Linked DNA regions of Coturnix japonica. The protein of the gene in region 1 purifies or fractionates together with the protein of each later gene. This does not show direct contact. Links are inferred from orthologs where the notes say so. Each region holds a gene or a part of one and is shown in the gene's direction. Other genes may lie near its edges.

What was found.
Region 2: the proteins of RPA1 (region 1) and TIPIN purify together in Homo sapiens (affinity purification with western blotting; 4 studies listed by BioGRID and IntAct, with this or other methods). This does not show direct contact. The link is inferred for Coturnix japonica from reciprocal best matches to the Homo sapiens genes RPA1 and TIPIN.
Region 3: the proteins of RPA1 (region 1) and RFC2 purify together in Homo sapiens (affinity purification with mass spectrometry, with the first as the bait; 3 studies listed by BioGRID). This does not show direct contact. The link is inferred for Coturnix japonica from reciprocal best matches to the Homo sapiens genes RPA1 and RFC2.

The regions. Positions count from the first base shown.
Region 1 is NC_029534.1:4,228,580-4,232,229, forward strand, and holds part of RPA1 (replication protein A 70 kDa DNA-binding subunit), read left to right. Parts: intron 1-860; coding exon 861-993; intron 994-2,032; coding exon 2,033-2,209; intron 2,210-3,455; coding exon 3,456-3,563; intron 3,564-3,650. UniProt on the Homo sapiens protein: As part of the heterotrimeric replication protein A complex (RPA/RP-A), binds and stabilizes single-stranded DNA intermediates that form during DNA replication or upon DNA stress.
Region 2 is NC_029525.1:16,738,617-16,742,366, reverse strand, and holds the start of TIPIN (TIMELESS-interacting protein), read left to right. Parts: upstream 1-1,415; 5' UTR 1,416-1,531; intron 1,532-1,975; exon of another isoform or gene 1,976-2,128; intron 2,129-2,558; exon of another isoform or gene 2,559-2,612; intron 2,613-2,796; 5' UTR 2,797-2,824; coding exon 2,825-2,957; intron 2,958-3,531; coding exon 3,532-3,625; intron 3,626-3,750. Other genes in the region: MAP2K1 (dual specificity mitogen-activated protein kinase kinase 1), read right to left, coding at 1,054-1,133.
Region 3 is NC_029534.1:2,018,135-2,021,884, forward strand, and holds the start of RFC2 (replication factor C subunit 2), read left to right. Parts: upstream 1-1,095; 5' UTR 1,096-1,171; coding exon 1,172-1,293; intron 1,294-1,775; coding exon 1,776-1,845; intron 1,846-2,278; coding exon 2,279-2,320; intron 2,321-2,651; coding exon 2,652-2,758; intron 2,759-2,888; coding exon 2,889-2,990; intron 2,991-3,361; coding exon 3,362-3,462; intron 3,463-3,750.

The DNA.
Region 1 (3,650 bases):
TGACACTTTTATTTTTATCAGGAAAACCAAGTGACTTCTTAGTGCTTCACTGCTGCTTCTAGCGTAGGTAGTTGCTAAATTATCTGCTGTAGCTACTAAGACAGTGAGATTTGGTGTGTGTGCTAATGGGGTAAAGTCCCTACTGCATCACTTATTGTGAATCCTGGGCTCACATTCTGCCCAAATCCTTTAAACGTGCATAAAATATTTGTCGGCGTTCTCCATTATTCAGATTGAGCAGAGCTGCTTCTATACTTCAGAGGGTTGTTGAAGATGAAATTGATTGTGGGTCTTAGCTAGTGCTGTCACATTTTAATTACATTCCGTTTTTGAGTTCTGTTGGTGTTTCTCACATCACAAAAGACGCTGAATGGGATGATAGTACAACCTTTTTCAGAAAAGGAGTGCTTTCTTATTTTAACACAGGAGGCATAATTTGTTCAATGCTATTTGCTTTTCCTTTTGAAGCTGCTGCAATGATAATGGTAGCGTGTAATTTAATTTTAATTATGGAAATATCTTGATGCCCTTAAATCTTGTTATCTGACTGCCTTTAAGAAGCATGCAGTGCGTGGTTTGACCACTAGCTGGCAAACAAATTGCAGTTATATAGAACAAAGCTGCCCTCCTTTTGTGGGTTTATAAAATACTATGCTAATTAAGTCAGAGTATTAACTTATTCTGAAATGCTATTTTTGTTTGCAGTATACACAAATTACTGTAATTGTTTCCTTTGCAATCATTGATTTTTAAGGAAAGAAAAAAAAAATCCTTCGTGTATTAAGTACATGAAACTAAACGTAAGCTTATGATAAGGTGGACTGCCATCCAAAAATAGCAATGCATCTTTGTGGTTCCAGGTTTGACTCTGAGGGACAGCTTCTGGAATGTGCCTCCATCTCTGATGTGAGAGGTGGGTCAGCGTCAGGGGTAGCTACCAACTGGAAAACCTTGTTTGAAGCCAAATCAGAGAGGTTGGGACAAGGAGATAAGGTAAGGCATGGCAGCTGACTGCAAGCCTTGTGTGTTTGAGGGGGGCGGGAAGGAAACCTTGGTGTTCTGCTTATTGGGAGAGTCCAGTTGTTGGGCTGTGTGCTTATTCTGTAAACAAGAAAAACCAAACAAACCAATGCACTGAATCCAAGTCCTTTGCTGATGTTGCAACATGATCCTATGTGTACGAGAGATTTCTAAGTCTTGGATAAATAGTGCCAAATAGACCACCCCAAAGATGCTAATATAAATAACACAAAGTGTTGTAGGGCAAACAGGTGCGTTTCTAGGAAGGGTTTTCAAGGCAGCCTTGCTCAATAGAAAATCTAGACCCAGGTCTGCAGTTTTCTAGCCTGGTAGCCTTCTTAGGCTTGAAATGCTTCTTGACTTGTTCCAATACGTTTTTAAAAGCATATAATTGTGGTTTTTTTCCAAAATGTTAGCACTAAGCCATTCAGGATAGAGAAAAACTTTGATCTAGATAAAGAACTTCCACAGGAAACAGCTGAATTACCAGTGCCTTTCTTGCATGTGGTTCTTAACCCCTGTTCATCTGCTGAAAGACTTGACTGTGGTCTTAAACCATTAGGGTGATGATTTTAGTGTGGTGAGTGGGTATTTTGTTCTGTGGGCTATAGTTTAATCAAACACTTATCTGTAATACTACACAGTAGGCTTTCTGGTTTTTGTACTGACTCCTAAAAGAAGCATAGGAAAGTGCAGAATCTTAATCTTGTGAAAAAAGCAGAGATTTGAACAGACACAATGGAGAAACAAATGTGCTTTATCTGAAGAAAACCTAGCAATCGGAGTTCCCTGCAATGGAAACACAGAATAATCTTGCTCTAGGGGCTTTATTTAACATAATGGAAGCCTGGAAATGATTGCGACAGGGGTTGATTTACAGTTTTCCAATAATCCATAGCTGTTAAGCTTTCTAATCCTAAATATCCAAGTATGGACGCCTTGCTTTGTAGTTAATTCAGAATTGGAAAACACTGAGTATTTTGAGGCTAATGTTGCACACTCACTCTCCTAGGCGGATTATTTTAGCTGTGTGGGCACAATAGTACATCTGCGGAAAGAGAACTGCATGTACCAGGCCTGTCCCTCTCAGGATTGCAATAAGAAAGTGATAGACCAACAGAATGGACTGTATCGTTGCGAGAAGTGCGATCGTGAATTCCCCAACTTCAAGTACCGCTTGATGCTGCTGGTAAGTGAGCTGATGAGGGCAGGCAGGGCTTCTCCCTGCTCTCCCTGGGCAGTGCAGATAGAAGTCTTTTGATGGAACAGGGTGTTAGGCTGCTGTGTTCTCCAGAGGTGCCTGTGGGTTAGAGGGTATTGAGGTGACTCGTGTCTGTACCTGGGTGAGGAATGTTTCATTGAGCTGATAAGCAGTTTGTTTTCCTAGCTCTCCAATTAAAAGCTTTTCTCTTTGCCAAAAAGTTGATGCTAGCTCAGTTGATTCTGGTTTCCAAGTGTACTATGCAGTGCAGAGTACAGATGGCCTACGCCTCTTCAGTAGTGAAGATAAACTGAAGTAAAATGGCATTTCTGGAGAGCAGTAATTGCACTTTTACAGCTGCTACCTATATTTAGTACATTTTCTTTTGTAGGTATTGTTCTGTCTCAAGCTTTAATGGAGCTTGCTTCGAAAGGCAGTGAGGATTATTATTGTGATGCCTGCTTACCCCATAAGCATTGAACCTTCTTCTGTTTTTACACTGTACATTTGTGTTGTATCTGCTTCTTAGAAATGCTGTGCCAGGTGGGCATGCAGAGAGAACTATCCCTGCAGTCTCACTAAAACACAAACTGCTTCTGAATAATTTCTAGCAGATAACTTCTAGGAATACACAAACTACTTAATGTAGCAGAGTCACTCTCCTAGAATATAAAAGGGATACTGAGGTTACAATCAAGGCCTTCGGAACAGTTTGTCTCCTATTTTTGCATTCCTAATTGTCAAAGCAGCCTCACAGATGAGGCTGGTACTTGATCTGTTTATTGCTCTGTCTTGTCCTTGAACGTTTTGATAGTTGTCTCGTAACGTAGCATCACATGTATTTATGCCCGAGTTCTAAATAAATGCAGGTCTCAATCTTGCTGGTGTCACCCTTGGTTGTTACTGTTCTGGGCTACCTGTTCATACTCATAGCTCATCAATGATAGAGGAAAAGGAGCTGAATGTCTATCGGTGCTTATTGCAGTGATCTTGTTGGCCTCTTCTTGTGACACAACATGCTGACAATATTAACGTGCTTTAAACAACTCTGACATTCTGTTGAGCTCTTTTGAAAAGCAAAATAATAAGTAATTGTCTTCCACCCTCAGTGATGGGAAGTGCACAGGGTTCTTGAGCTGTGAAACAAATACTACTTTTATCTGTTGCTCATAGAAGTCAGTGCAACTGGATGGAATTTCTTGTTCCTTGTTTTTATTATTGTTGTATTTTTTAGGTGACCATTGCAGACTCTCTAGATTACCAGTGGGTGACTTGTTTCCAGGAGTCAGCAGAATTCATTCTTGGGCAAAGCGCTACTTTCCTGGGAGAGCTGAAGGAAAAGGTCAGTCATTTACCTTATTACATTCGTAGTAAATGCTGAGAAGTGGGTCTGTGTTTTACACACCTTGCTGTTGAACAGACCTCTGAG
Region 2 (3,750 bases), on another chromosome or scaffold:
TCCCTGCCATATTGAAGAGCTCATCCTTCAGCTCACCATCAAAAGACTTCGCTAGAAGTGCCACAGCTGGAGCTGCAAGATACTGAGTGTATTCTGTGACCATCAGGTGGATGAGTGAGATCTGAGCCTGCTTGAAAATGTGGCAACAACAGCAGCACACGTGGAACACTTTCAGCTTGAGACGTGCACATCTCGCTGCAATTCTGCGCTGTGTTCCCTGACAGCAGAACATAAGCACATCAGAGCGCAGCTCGGGTATCCAAGGAGCGAACCATACAGGGGAAGGAATCCATCCTTACACACACACACCCACAGCTCGCACCTCCGTCACCAGGAAGTCCATCACCTCTGCTTATAAACTAAGTGATGAATACAGATCTACCAACCTGATGGAAACTCCTTTTGTAACGAATGTTACGCAGCTCTGACACCACCTGCAAAACTAAGGCCCCACGGTAACGCAGACCCAGCAGCACTGCGAGCAAATGGAACAACTCGGCATTCGCTGCCCCCTTCCCCTGCACAAAACACACCGGCTGCTCCCTCAGACCCCACATCCTCTCTGACAGCACACAGCGCTCACCTACGCTACAGCCAGGAAAGCTCAAAGCCGTTTTCACCCAACACACCCCTTGGCATAGCCAGCTTTACGTGCTAATTACCGACAGATTGACTCAGATTAGCGCTGGTTTATCTTAAAGCCAAAGAAAGAAAAAAGAAGCCCACACTTTCCCTACAGATCTGTGACTCCTGATGACATTTCTCCCATACACATCTATGAAATACACTGTTAGAAGCGCAGAATTTGGCCTTCGTTGTGGAATTATATAACCTAACAACGTAACAGACCCCATTACAGACACAGGCGCAGGGTTCACCTCACGTACCCGCCCCGCTGCAGCTCAGCCCGAGGGGTCCCGGCCCGGAACCACCGGTACAACGCTGGAACCGGGTTGTGCCGAACCGGGCCCCCGGCGGAGCTGCAGCCCCTCAGCAGCCCGTGCTGGAGCGGCCCCGCCCGGCCCCTCAGCGAACAGCCCGGGCTGCACTCACTCTGCAGAGCTGGTCCCGTTGACGGCGGATCCATCCGGAGCGGGGTTCAGCTGGATCGGACCCGGCTTCTTTTTGGGCATGTTCCCCCCCGGTCGCGGCCCCGTTTGGGCCAGGTCCGACCGACTTCCCGAGATGAAGCAAAACTTCGGGGCCGCCCCTCAGCGCACAACGAGCGTGAGGCCGCCTCCACCACAAGGAGCCGAGGACACGACGCCGCCGCTCCGGCTCGGTACAGCCGTTAACACAGCCGGTACCGAGCGGAACCGAGCGGAACCACACAGAGCGGAGCGCGCACAGCACGGCGGAAAATAACTGCACGGGATCCAAGTGCGCCCTGCCCCGGAACTGCGCATGCGCACAATCACCGGCCACAAGGAAGCGCAAGCGCGGCCAGCGGGAGCATGCGCAGTGAGGGAGGGGAAGGCGGACCGACGCCGTGCCAGCACCGGGAGCTGAGCTTGGAAACAGTACGACCAAAGTAAGATAAACCATGACTTGTTGTTAAATACATTTGGGATATCAAGCGATTACCGCTCTCAGCACAACGTTATGTGGTGCTGACTGCAAGAGATGCTCATCTATTTAGAAATACGCGTTTTAAACGCGGGTAAAATCACTCGGGCTGAAGGGAAACGCGTGTATCATAGTATCACAGTCCCGTGTGGGTTGGAAGGGACCTCAGAGATCATCGAGTCCAACCCCCGGGATTCGAGCGTCTGTGCTGCAGAGCGGCACTTCTACCACTCGCGCCACAGGGGGGATTCGAACCTCTGACTCCGGTGTTAATTCAACCCGCTCAGTGTTACCGGCGCTACACGCAGCTCCGCCCAACGGACTTGGCGCCAACAGCGGCGGAGCGCAGCAGCTGCGCATGCGCATTAGCCCGGCCGGCCGGGGGAGCCTCCTCAGCTCGGCGGTGTCTGTGCGGTGCTGTGCGGTGTTGTGCTGTGTGGTATTTGTGTGGTATTTGAGCGGTATTTGGTGTCTTCGTCCGGAGCTCCCAGCGCTCTGAAAGCAGGAGAGAAGCTCCTTAAGGCGGTAGGAAGGGGAAAACCGTCAGGGCTGGAGGTGTGAGGGGAGCGGGGCCTCAGGGTGCGGCTCTGGGCGTCGTGGCGGGCTCCTGTCGGGGCGAGCTGTGTGTGAGCCCGGCTGTGGAGAGATACAACAGCCCTCAGCCTGGTGAGCGGGGATGTGAGGAGCTGGGGCCGTCATGAGCCTGAGAGACCTCGGCCCTGGCCTGTGGGTTGAAGGGATAAGCTGTAGGTTGGGGGACCCGCAGCTCAGGAGACTAAAGTTGTTAGTTTGTGTGGATAACAGCTGGCTTGAAAAGCACTTAGTCTGAAATGCTTTTGTTGTGTGCTTGTGTTCTTACAACGACCCACAGCCACCACTCCCAGGTAACCAAGTGTGAGAAGCCCATAATTTACTTGGCTCGGCAATACTGGGTTGTGTCATCCTTCTGCATAGTATCTGCTGCTTAATTTATGTAACGTGCTGTTTGGCAGAGCTTCCTGTGGAAGGGCTGGGTCTCACGTAGCTGATGTTTGTTTCTGTGGCAGGTTTGTTGGTTTTTGCATTCTTTTTAAATGCTTCTGATATTTCATAGGCTCGTTAAGGTTGGAAAAGACTTCCAAGACCCCCCAAATCCCAACTCACCCCCACTGTGTCCCCTGACCACATCTCCACTGTGGAATTTTGGAGTTCCCCATCCCAGTTCTCTCATCTGCTCTTTGTTTCCCACAGGAGGAGGAAGAAAAGTTAATCTGTGGCCATGATAGATCCTCTGGAGAACAACTTGTTTGATCTCCCTGATTATGAGAATACAGAAGATGAAACATTTCCACCCCTCCCACCTCCTGCGTCTCCAGGAAGAGCTGATGTTGAATGGGCTCAAGCTAATGGAGGTGAGAACCCTGTGAACCCTGGAGATTTTTCAGTATAGAATGAAATGCTGAGAGATCAGCTTTGTTGGAGTTCTACTTCAATGTGTTGTGCTTACTCAGTAAAAATAATCCAAGAGTAAAAAAAGCAGTTAAGTTGTTCTTGATCCATACTTGTGCAGTGAGTTTACCTTTGTAGATGCCATGGGAATGTTTGCATGCATGCACACAAGACTGCCAGCATTCCAGGGAGATGGTAGGAGTTTGGTTGTTGGTTTTCTATCTTAAGACAAAGACAGAAAGCAAAAAATAAAGTTCAAGTTACTTTCTATCAATTGTATATGGAATGTTCTGTGTGTGGAACAAGGGAGCAGGAAGTACGTAATTCTTGATGTACGAAAATTAGAGTTCTAACTCCTGGGTGTCTGATGTTTAGACTGGCAAAGTCTTAAACAAGAAATCAGTGTGATAGTAATTACTGCTGGGATGGATTGTGGTGCCGTATCCATTGCAGTCAAATGTATGAGTATTAGCCTGAATCAAAAAGTGAGTGAGCCATTTGTGCTGTATGCTTACAGTGTGTGATTTTCTTGGTTAGATCTGGATGGAAACCAGCAGTCAGAAACAAAGGATTCTTCTGCAGCTGCACGGAAAGCAGTTAAAAGATCGATACCTAAACTAGATGCTCACAGGTATTTTTGGACTTAGTGTTTCTTTCCTTGATAAACTTGGTGCATGGCTGTGATGTGGTAATTAAGGTTACTGTGATTTCAAGTGCACTTGAGTGAATCCTCAGTACAGTGATGTCTGCGAGGTG
Region 3 (3,750 bases), about 2.2 Mb from region 1:
CAAACTCAAAACAAAACTGCTTTGCTTGCCACCAGCCATAGCATGCAAAACAGCAATTCTTTACCACAACTTCTGCATTTTATCAACTCCCTGACAAAAAACTCTTGCACTGAGATTTGGTTTCCCTGCAGGGATTAGAGTACAAGTTCCTGACTGCAGATGAGATGAGGAGATGCAACTCAGTTTATCCTGGATGTATCCTGTGATCTCAGGGTTTCAGTACCAACGGTTCACAATCTGGGACAGGTGGTCGTCAAAGCTTTCAGCTGAGGTATGTCTATCCATATACTGTACTAATATAATCATAATGATAATAAATACCTGTGCTATAAGCCACAGAATCACTGAGGATACATAAGGAGTCACTGCCAACGCAGACAGTGCAGTGCTTTGGAAGGCTGCTCTGCATAGAAACACATCACAAAATCTGTCATCGAGCACTCTGCACCAGTTCTCACAAATAGCCTTTCAACCAGCCCTTTGGGCGCTTATCAGCAGTAACCCTGCACGTATAGTGGGAGAATTAACACTGGCCAGGAAAATTATATCTTATCCAGTGGCTGGTACTTCCTAAGAGCATAACAACTGTTTAATTTGGCAAGAAATCAAAGCATGACTCGTGTGCTGTACTGACAGGCTTTTACAACCAGTAGTGCTCTATGCAGCTGCAACATTATACTGCCTCACCTTGGCTCCTGCTGAACACTGCAGTTAAATCTAAAGGAAAAGAGCAACGTAGTGAGCCTGAACTTTACACAGCGATGGATTCATGCGGTATTTGTGTTACAAACAGTCTGAAAGTGGTAGAAGTGCCGCTCTGCTACACAGGAGGCTCGAATCCCAGGGGTTGGACTCGATGATCTCTAAGGTCCCTTCCAACTCGCACAAGACTGTGATACTGTGTGTGAAAGCTGTGGAAATAAAGACAATAACCCTGTCTCACCGTATCACATAATTACGACTTTATTTCCTTTCCTGCTTTAAGGAAGATGGGGTTAATCCATAGTTATCTCAAGCAGCCGTGTAAAACCTGCTGACCACACAAATCCACCCTCAAACCCGAACAGGCCCCACCTCCGGCCTACACCCCCCGCCCCTTGAGGCGGGCCTACAGCGCGACCGCCCCTCCAGGAGGCGGTGGGAAAACGAGGCCTATCCTGCAGCCGCCGCAATGGAGGAGGAAGTGGAGATCGTGGAGGACGACAAGGCCGGACCTGCGGCTGCTGAGAAGCGGGGACCCACCGACACGCTGGGGTCCGCTCCTACCGCCAGCAGCCATTACGAGATGCCCTGGTGAGAGCCGAGAAGCGAACCGCTCCGTCTGCACACAACGCGGGCCGGCCGCGCTGTGCTGAGGGACATGGATCCGGGGGCGGGAATAAAGGACGAGCTGTGCGGCTATTGGTGGGGAACGCGATTGGGGGGCGGGGCTTAGCGTGGATTGGCCTATGGCGTGAGAGAGGGGGCGGGGCGTGCCGTTGGCGGGAAGGTGGGTATGTAACCTCAGGCTGTGCAGGGTTCCACCATTTCCTTCTATATAACAGCGACAATAAAATAACTTTAAGACCATTAATAAACAACAACAATAAAATAAATAAGACCATTAGAGCTGCTATTGGCAACCCCGCAGTGTTTACATTAAGGACATCTCATGTTATTTTTGTCCCATGTTGTCTTAATGCTCCATATAATCTCCTTTTCCAGCAGTGTAAGGCACTATTAAAGTTTAAACTAAGATGTTTAAACATCTTAGTGTTTGGGTTTTATTTCCACAGGGTGGAAAAATACAGACCCCTGAAACTATGTGAAGTAGTTGGAAATGAAGATACAGTCAGCAGGCTGGAGGTGTGTGGCTGCTTGTTTGTTCATGGGTGAGATAAGAGATGCCATTTTGCATCCACATCCAGAGCAGAAACAGCAATTCTGCATTTCCACATCAGTCTCTGGATATTTGGACAAGAAACTAACTGATTTCCTTCAAAAATTACAAGTTTTGGGACAAATTTGATCAGTATTCGAAATAAATGCGCCTTCTATACTTGGGGTGCTGTGCAAATTGGACCCAGCTTAAATACAACGCAAAAAGGCTGTAATTTGTAGTAATTTTGGGACTTGTTAACTGGAAAAATGCATGAAAGCAGCAAGATTAAGAAAAAAGAAAGGAAAGCAGGAGGGAAAAAATGGCATCTCTTTCTCGAGGTCAAAATGGAATAGAACTGCAAACTTTGTTCCCACCATTTTCTTACCTACTTGTCTTGTTGCTCTTATTCTTTCTTAGGTCTTTGCAAAAGAAGGGAATGTCCCAAATATTATCATTGCGGTGAGTATTGCTGTGGCATTTCGCTGTGTTAATCCCAGTCCAGAGACCCAGGCATGACCAGGATAGATTTGTACTGTGGTACCACTGAAGGAGATGTTATGTTTACAGGGCAGTATATTCAGCTAAAGGCACAGCAAGTAAACAACCTTCTGTTACTGAAATACTGCAAACTAATTTGGCCCTTGGGTGCCTATTGAAGCATATCTAGTGCTTTATTGCTGCTGGAGCAGGATCCTGAGCTCAGGTCACTTGTATTTTACATGAGTGGGGATTGTTGTAGAGAGTGCAGGTTAGGAAATGGCATTGCACTCATGAGCAATTGTATTTCCAGGGTCCACCTGGAACAGGAAAAACCACCAGCATCCTCTGCTTGGCTCGTGCTCTGCTTGGCCCTGCGTTAAAAGATGCTGTTTTGGAGCTGAATGCCTCAAATGACAGGTGAGAAGGAATAAGCCTTATCAAGCTTAATGAAGAAGCAAGTATCCATTGTTATTTTGTGGCTGCTGAATGAAAGCCTTTATGGAATTTCACCCTAACTGATCATTAATGACTTCAATTATTATTCCAGAGGCATCGATGTTGTGAGGAACAAAATCAAAATGTTTGCTCAGCAGAAGGTCACACTTCCAAAAGGTCGGCACAAAATCATCATCCTCGATGAAGCAGACAGGTACATTGCTTTTTTTTCTTGACCCCAGCTGCTTTGTGCAATGTTTTCTATCTATTCTGCTGTCTTGGACAGTATGAGATGACTCTTTTCCTCCTGCATATAAATAGCAGCATTCTTAACAGTACTCTTAATACCACTGGTGATTTGATTTTATATGTTAACTTTATGGATGACTCAATAACTGGCTCTACTATGAAGTGATTGGTTCATGTGCCGGCTAAAATATGAGGCTTGCCAATCAGAAATACCAGGTAATTTACAAAGCACTGTTCAATATCAGTAAACTCTAAAGCTTGTATACAAATAGTCACTAAGCTGCAGCTTTAAGTCAGTGATGGATAAAATCTGTCCTAACTCCTTTTCTTTCTCAGCATGACAGATGGAGCCCAGCAAGCTTTGAGAAGAACAATGGAAATCTATTCCAAAACAACACGCTTCGCACTCGCATGCAATGCCTCTGATAAAATCATAGGTAAAGCTCTGTTAGACCTTGGGTGTTCTGGTCATATGCTCCCCATGCTGCTGGGTAACCTCCAAAGCAGAAACACTTGGAGCCTGCTCATTGCAAGAAGCCATGGTAATTAAGAAGAACCAAACCACCCAAACATCCAGCTAATGAAGAGCACGTTTGCACAGCTGATGAACCTCCTGAACAGCTGTTTTTCATGAAAAGTTCTATGCATGACTGCAGAGCAGATTTCTTCAGGCTTAATCACCATCCAGCTCTGCTACAGCTTACGATTTGTGGTGCATTGTTAAC